Sus scrofa: one gene and its partner. Each later gene encodes a partner of the first gene's protein in a complex. Links are inferred from orthologs where the notes say so. Each region holds a gene or a part of one and is shown in the gene's direction. Other genes may lie near its edges.

What was found.
Region 2: the proteins of TLR4 (region 1) and LY96 are in contact, whole or in part, in a crystal structure (PDB 4G8A), measured with the Homo sapiens proteins. The link is inferred for Sus scrofa from reciprocal best matches to the Homo sapiens genes TLR4 and LY96. Residues at the interface, in NP_612564.1 of Homo sapiens: Gln39, Met41, Glu42, Asp60, Ser62, Phe63, Asp84, Ser86, Arg87, Thr110, Gly111, Val132, Val134, Glu135, Asn156, His159, Ser183, Ser184, Asp209, Leu212, Arg234, Val259, Glu262, Phe263, Arg264, Asn265, Glu266, Arg289, Ala291, Tyr292; in NP_056179.4 of Homo sapiens: Met40, Tyr42, Ile66, Pro67, Arg68, Arg96, Ser98, Asp99, Asp100, Asp101, Tyr102, Ser103, Phe104, Arg106, Leu108, Lys109, Gly110, Glu111, Thr112, Thr115, Thr116, Ile117.

Annotation. Positions count from the first base shown.
Region 1 is NC_010443.5:258,043,321-258,047,682, forward strand, and holds the start of TLR4 (toll-like receptor 4 isoform 1 precursor), read left to right. Parts: upstream 1-1,289; 5' UTR 1,290-1,537; coding exon 1,538-1,630; intron 1,631-4,362.
Region 2 is NC_010446.5:61,936,955-61,940,778, reverse strand, and holds part of LY96 (lymphocyte antigen 96), read left to right. Parts: intron 1-1,316; coding exon 1,317-1,445; intron 1,446-3,824. UniProt on the Homo sapiens protein: Binds bacterial lipopolysaccharide (LPS). Cooperates with TLR4 in the innate immune response to bacterial lipopolysaccharide (LPS), and with TLR2 in the response to cell wall components from Gram-positive and Gram-negative bacteria.

The DNA of each region.
Region 1 (4,362 bases):
TGCTCCGTCCCCTGTGACCCATTCCCTCACAGCTTGATTTTAGATGTGTTGGATTTGAGGTCCTTGATGGATATCTTGGTGGAACTATTTAGGACACAATACCAGCAATGGCACCATTTTAAACTATGTTCCTATTTAACAGAAACTTACATTGTGCTTTCTACACTCTAAACATAATCTGTCCTAAAAGCTTTACAAATGCCACCTTATTTAATCCCATAACAATAATTTGAGGTACATATTAGCACCCTCATTTTATTCATATTTTTAATCATCTTAATAGCCTCCAATTTGAGGAATATCCTGATGAACCATGCAGTAGAACAGGCATTTTATGTAAATCAGCTTAATTCAGTCACACAATATGAATGTGATTATATCCATTTTAAAGACCAGAAAACGAATGCTTTCGTGGCTTGCATCATTTGACTACTATCACATGGTTTTATTGTTATAAACTTTATAAAGGTGAATTTCTGTTGTGCTTAAAACTATTATCCCATTTTACAGACCAGAAATTGTCTCAGTCGTTTAAGAGACTTGACCAATGCTACAAGGCCATAAACCACCCAGCCAGGATTTGAATTTCAGTATATTTGATTCTTCATCCCAATCTTTTCCCAATATTCTTGTACTTTTCAAACGGTGTTTCCCTGGAGCCCTATTTTCAATGTTTCATAAATGTGGGCTTCTTCACAAGATTTCATAAAATTGGACAGTGCTATGAGTGAATCGCATCCTCTGCCAAAATTCATGTGCTGGAGTCTTTATTCTGGTACTGCAGACTGTGACTGTATTTTGAGAGTGGGTCTTTACAACAGTAATTAAGGTAAAAGGAGGTCACTACATCATATGGGTGGATCCTAATCCAGTATGACTGCAGTCCTTATAAGAAGAGGAAATTAGAACAGAGACACACAAGAGGAAAGAACTTTGGCACAAGAAGGAAGAGATAGCCATCTACAAGCCAAGGAGAGAAGCAGTTAACCCTGCTGACACCTTGACTACAGACTTCCAGCCTCTGGAACTTTGTGAGGAAATCAACGTCTGCTGTTTAAGCCACCTAGTCTGTGGTATTTTGTTATGGCAACCCTAGCAAACTAACACAGACAGTAAATTTCCACTAGTAAAACAAAAGTGGAAAGCCACCGTCCCAGGCAGTTAGTCACACAGGCTGTTTGACCAGTCTGACTGTTTTCCTAAACTCAACAACACTGAGGTCAGATGACTTCCTGGGATAAAAGCCAGCTTCCTCTTGCTATTACTCCAGCTCCGGTCTACAGGTTTTCTTCTTCTTCTTCTAACTTCCCCTCTGGTGACAGAGGAGATAAATATTAGAGAAACAAAAGTCCAGAATGCGAAGGCTGCCATTCTCACTTCCTCTTACCCCTTAACCCAGTGCTGCTTTGAATAGAGTCAGTGCCCCCGGGCAGTGTGCTGAGGAGAGAAGACGGCAGTGCCTGGGAGGCTGCTCTGACCAGCAGATACAGAGGGTCATGCTTTCTCCGGGTCACTTCTGTTCACGGAAAATGCCAGGATGATTCCTCGCATCCGCCTGGCTGTGGCCACGATCCCAGCCATGGCCTTTCTCTCCTGCCTGAGATCTGAGAGCTGGGACCCTTGCGTGCAGGTATGTGGTAGGAGTCTGCTCAGCTTCCCCTGAGCTTTGCCTTGCTTCTGAAAAACTGCTCTCTGCCTAGAGCTTCCCTTGGTGAGCCCTGGTTAGTTTCATTAGCAAACAGAAGTCAAATTACCTTAAAGACTTAAGAGACCAAAGGGACCAAAAAATTCATGGTAAGAGCGCACTAATAGGCAGCCCATGGGGTTTTGTCCCACCTAGGACTTAAAGGGCTAATGGGACGTTAGGTCAGATAGACCTGTTTAAAATCACTGCCTTTCCAATTCTGGGCTGTGTGACCTTGAAGAAGTTACCCAACCTCTCTTAGACTAGTTTTCACATCCATAAAAGAATTATAGGCTTCAGTACAGAGTTGCAAGAAGCCTGCTTCCTGTCATTCCTTTCTGTTGGTGGTTTGCATACTCTGCTTTGAGCTGTTTTATTTGCCCCTTTCAATCTCAGGAAGATATTTTTAGTCTCTTAATAGAAATTTCTAAGCAGATTTCCAACTTCTGGTCATAGTTCTGTCCAAACGATAAAAAGACAGAAGTTAGAAAAGGAGAGACAGAGAAAGAGAGAGAGAAAGGAATGAAGAAAGAAGGAAAAAAGAGACAAGTTATAAAATATCAGCTAATGTAATGCTTGCTTTCTTTGTGAAACATCAATCAGTTGGTTCATAATCTCATTACTGATGGATTTTGTTTGTTCTTCCACTGCATGGACTTTACAATTGCTTTGGAAGCCCATGGCAGACCCAAACAGCCACAAGAATGTCCTGGATTTAGGATGTGGCAGGGTCAGAAACTCAAGAAAAGCATAACCTGCCAGAGTCCTGGCACTGGGGACATGGAAGAAACAATATACTTTGATATGTAACAAAGACAAATCTGTTATCTGCAAGTCCTCTGTTTCCCCAATTCCCTTCTCACTGTCCTCCTCTCTGTGTCTTTCCTGCTGTTAGGTTAGTAGGTATAGATCCTCCAATCATGCTCCCCCCAGGATAAAACCAAGGGGGGGAGGGGGGTGGCAGTGGGGACCATGTGGCTCCTCCTTCTCCCATGCTCCCAATACTCTCCATTTCCAAAGCTTGCCCAACCCTTCTCTTCCCTCCAGGATCACTCTGGGGCAGATCCTCAGTTCCCTTGGCCTTGACTCTTGGACAGGGACTAGTCTCATGTCCCATTGTCCCTGTCATTTAATCTAACCTGTACATTTTTGTTGTTTGTTTGTTGCAGTTTTTCCTGAGGTTCAGTTCTAACAAATTACCATCCTTAAAAACTTGCACTAACTCTCCATTGCTATCAGGACCTTTTCCTGCCATGGGGCCTTTGCCGTGGCTATTTCCTCTAGCTAGAATGCCTTCCCCGTAGATCTGTGGTGCTCAGTGGTAATATCATAGGGTCATGTGACATTATTTAAATAATAAATTTAAGTAACTAAATTTAATTAAATTTTTATTCAACTAAGTTAACTTTTTAAACTAAATTTAAAATGTAGTTTTACATTTTCTAGTAGCTACATGAAAATATAAAAAGAAGAAAGTGAAATTAATTTTAATAATATTTTTGTTTAACTCAGTACATTCAAAATATTATTTCAAAATGCAATGTATACTAAAGCATTAATAATATATTTTACATTCCTTCTTTGGTTTTAAGTCTTTAAAATTTAGTATATATTTTACATTTGCAATATATCTCAGTTTAAACTATCCATATTTCTTATGCTCATTATGGTCAGTATGTCCCTATTGGACAGTACAGCCCTAGATATTTTTATGACTTAATCCCTCATTTCATCCAGATTTCTGCTTATATGTCACCTCCTTCAATAAGTCTTCCTTGATTGCTTCACATAGAGCACCTCACCCCCCATATTTGCCACTAGTTTCCTATGCTGCTTTATTTTGATAGCACATTTTTGTAGCACATACACATATAGGTGTATATTTATATTTTATATATATATAAAACATGTATTACCTATGTTTTATATATATATATAAATATATATTTTATTTGTCTATTGCTTGTATTTTCCTTGAAATGGAATCTATAAGAGGTCAAGATAATTTCTGGTTTTAGTTATGACTCTATCCCAGTGCATCTCACATTATAGTTGCTCATTTAAATGTGATTGAAAGCATTGCCACAGAACAAAGTACGAGGCCTCCTATCTGGCCCTCCCCTCTGGTTGAGGTTTTGCCACTCCTGCCACACAACGTTAATCTGAGCTAGTTTTTCACCCCTCTGTACTTGCTGTGCCCTCTTCCTTCCTCTCCTTCCTTTCCATGTATCCAAATCTCATCCTTCCAGACCCACCTTGAAATTTTCTCTTTCTTGGAAGCCTTCTACAGTCTATAATCTCTGGATCCAGTATTGATCTCCACTTTTTAATGAACTAAGGAGAAAATGTTCTAAGTCTGGTTTCATCCCCTTTTCAGGAGTCTAACTTGTGCTTTTCTTTTAACTCTCTCAGTTGTGAGCTCATTGAAGTCTAGAGCCATATCCCATTGGTCTTTGTGTTGTCTATAGCACTTAGCAGAAAATGCCTTCAACTGGGTTTTGAATAAACATCTATTTAAGCAGTTATCCATTCATTTATTCAACAAATATTTATAGATCATTAACTATTTCCCAGGCACCTTCTGACTGCTGCAGACATAGCAGAGAGCTAGACTTTCAAAGCTTGCAGTCTAGTGAGGAAAATGAATAGTATATATGGAACATATGTTCATAATATTA
Region 2 (3,824 bases), on another chromosome or scaffold:
TCACAGTCTTTTTTTGCTGCTTATAATTTTTCAATTTAAATTTTATCGAAGTATAATTGATTTACAAGTTTGTGATAATTTCTGCTGTACCACAAAGTGATTCAGTTATACATGGACATATGTCCATTCTCTTTCAGATTCTTCTTTTTCTTTCTTTCTTTCTTTAGTGGTACACCGATACCAAAGGAAGGACAGGATTTTGAGGAAGGAGTAGCAGTTTTGTTAAGTATAGCCAAGTTCAAGGGAAACATGGAAAAACATTTTTTTTTCTTTTTATTATGGCTACAGAGAGTCTTAGTGATCATATTAGGAAAACAGTTTCTGTAAATTAGTAGTTACAATAATTGTTTTCATTATAAAAAAGATCATGTGTCTTTTCCAGCTGGGCCAACAGAATTACTTAAAAGAGTTGAGCAAAATGCATTTCTTCCTGGTATTTTCCATGTTCACTGATAATAGGGAGATCATGAGGAAATAATAAATAGTTCATTTACTTTATTTTTAGTCGAAGGGTTCAATGTCATTCTCTAAGACATCATTCATCAAAACTATAAAAAGTGGGCATGAGTTGGTTATCATCACTTCCTTTCCCTTCCCTTTCTTTTGAATTTCCTAGTGGAACTGACACTACACTTCACATCTTCACTTGATAGTTTTCACAAAAATACAGGTTCCTGTATTTTAGGCGTAGCACTCATAATTCTCACTGTGGAACCTGCTATTTATTTTATTTTACTATTTTATTTTATTTTATTTTATTTTATTTTATTTTATTTTATTTTATTTTACTTTACTTTACTTTATTTTATTTTATTTTATTTTATTTTATTTTATTTTATTTTATTTTATTTTATTTTTGTCTTTTCTAGGGCCGCACCTATAGATGGAGGTTCCCAGGCTAGAGGTCTAATCAGAGCTGTAGCCACCGGCCTTCACCAGAGCTACAGCAATGCAGGATCCAAGCCACGTCTGCAACCTACACCACAGCTGAAGGCAACACCGGATCCTTAACCCACTGAGCAAGGCCAGGGATCGAACCCTCATGATTGCTCGTCGGAATTGTTAACCACTGAGCCACAATGGGAACTCCAGAATCTGCTATTTGATTGCAATCAACCAGCAAGCCCTCTCAGAACTTCAGTTTTCTCATCTGCAAAACAAGAATAACAATATCCTCAATTAAAGGTAGTTGTGATGATTAAATGAATTAACATAGGAAAAGCACAGGGCATATTTTAAGTATACACTAAATGTTACTGGTTATTTATAAAAGAGTATCTTGTTTGTAGAGCTAATAAAATTTTTTTCTTTTAAAGGAAGAGACATACAAAAATTATATCTCAACCTCCATATATCTATTAAGTCCATGACTTTACCAATGCGCAAAGAAGTTATTTGCCGAGAATATGGTGGTGATTATTCTTTTTGCGGAGCTCTGAAGGGAGGTAAGCCTTCAAGTCAAATTACTCTCAGAATCAAGTGTAATACCTTATGAGAATGCTCTGAAAATTAAATACATTGAAAATGTGAAGTTCCTTTTCTGATGTAATTCTTTATTTCCATCCAAAGTTTTTCTTTTAGCAGCTTAAACATTTTTTGCTTATGTTACTGGGTTATTAGTAAGATGACATTTGGGTAAGTTTGAAGGGATATTAGCATTTTACCTTGTTCAGATTAATAGCATATGTTTATCCTTGGTTATGGTTCCCTCTTTATAAACATTGCATTTATTATTTTTCATAAAAACTCAGTAGATTTTCTTTGCAGCTACATTGATTCCTTCAATTCTTTTCTCTCCTTTTTTTCCACCCTAGAATTATTCATAGCCTCATAAAATTTCAAAGTTTAGGGACTTAAAGGTCATTTATTGCAAACCTATGAATTTTTCCTTAATAATTTTAAGCTAACATTTTAAATAGTTAGAAAATTCTATGTATCATATTGTCACATTACCAAAAATTGGAAAATATAAAATGAAAAAGTCACAGAATCATACTTCTAAGGATATTTTGGAGTATTTTTGTCTCATTTTAAAACTTGTACATATTGTTTAGTAGTTGTAAGTATACTATACTCTTCATGGTATATAATATAGTATACTTACATATACATATACTGTAGTCTACATAGTATATAATGACTATAGTTGTAAGTATACTATACAATTACTTTCTTTTTAAAAATTAATTAATTTAATTCCTTGACCAATAATCCATGTGATTTGAAAATCAGAGTATAGACGTTCCATAATGAAATGTCGTCCCTAGTGGGGTGCTCTGGTTTCATTCTCTTATTGGACAGTTTCCTTCTGATGTATTTACTATTATAAGTAGTATTATACATATTTTATCATATTTTAGATTTGAAGAATCCTATATTTGGAAGAAGGAGTGCATATAACTCCCAGGGAGATTTCTGAGCTTAAATGGTTTGAATATTTGTGGTTTTGTTTACATAAAGCCAAATTGCTTTTCTAAAGGATTGTATCAATTTATACATTGTACCACCAGCAGTGCATATGTATAGTAGTTTAATCTCTGTCCTGTTAACACTGGGCATTTTCATTTTAAAAAAAAGGACTAAAAAAAGACTTTGTAAGGGAGTTTCCTCATATGGCAGCAAGTCAAGGCTCCAGCATTGTCATTGCAGTGGCTGAGGTCACTGCTGTGGTGCAGGTTCCATCCCTGGCCCAAGGACTTCCACATGCAGGGAGCATGGCCAAAAAAAACCCAAAAAGACTTTACTGGGTAAAAAACTTATGCCTAATTTTTTTCGGCCACTTTCGTGGCATATAGAAACTCCTGGGCCAAAGATTGAACCCATGCTACTGCAGCAACCTAGGCCACTGCAGTGACAATACTGGATCCTTAACGGCTATGCCACAAGGGAATTTCCCTAATTTATTTTTTTATTTTTTTATTTTAGGGCCACACCCACAGCATACAGAAGTTCCCAGGCAAGGGTTTGAATCAGAGCTACAGCTGCCAGCCTACGCCACAGCCACAGCAACACGGGATCCGAGCCATGTCTGTGACCTACACTACAGCTCATGGCAACGCTGAATCCCTGACCCATTGAGCAAGGCCAGGGATCGGGGATCAAACCCACATGCTCATGGATACTAATCAGATTTGTTTCCACTGCACCACAATGGGAACTCCTCCCTAATTGTTTTTTTATTAATATTTTTTATTACTATTGAAGTTGAATGTTTTCCCATATAATTATTTACCATTAATCAGTGCCCTCTCTTGTTTTAAAAAAGATTTCAGGTAGTTTATATGTATTCGTTAATTTAAGCAACTTAACAGAAATAGATGAGACACAATTTGAAAATAAGGGTCAAGAATTAATGGAATGAGAGTAATATGAAAATTCATAACAGAAAGGCTTATACTTTGACAGGTGCATCAATTTGATTATACATTTTCTAGCAGTCATTAAAAAATAGTTTCTAAAGTAAATCAGTGTGCTTGCTCTGCAAAGGAAACTTCAAGATGTGTCTCCCAGCCTACCATCTTTCATCTCAAACTTGCCCGCCATCCCCTACTAGTCATGGAGCTGGCATTGCCTTAGAGTCTACGCTCAGAGTCATAAGACCTGAATCCGTGTCCCAGTTTTTCCACTGACCAGCAGTGTGACTTTGGCGTGTTATTTAAACTTCATCAACCTCATTTTCCTCTTCTGTGAAATGGGAACAGTGAAACCTGCTTCACATGGTCTTCAGGATTAAATTAAAGAATGTGTGTGAAAAAGCTTGGTACTCAGCATAAGAATTTGTGAGTTATGGTGAATAGACATTAAATATTCATGTGGCTATTAGG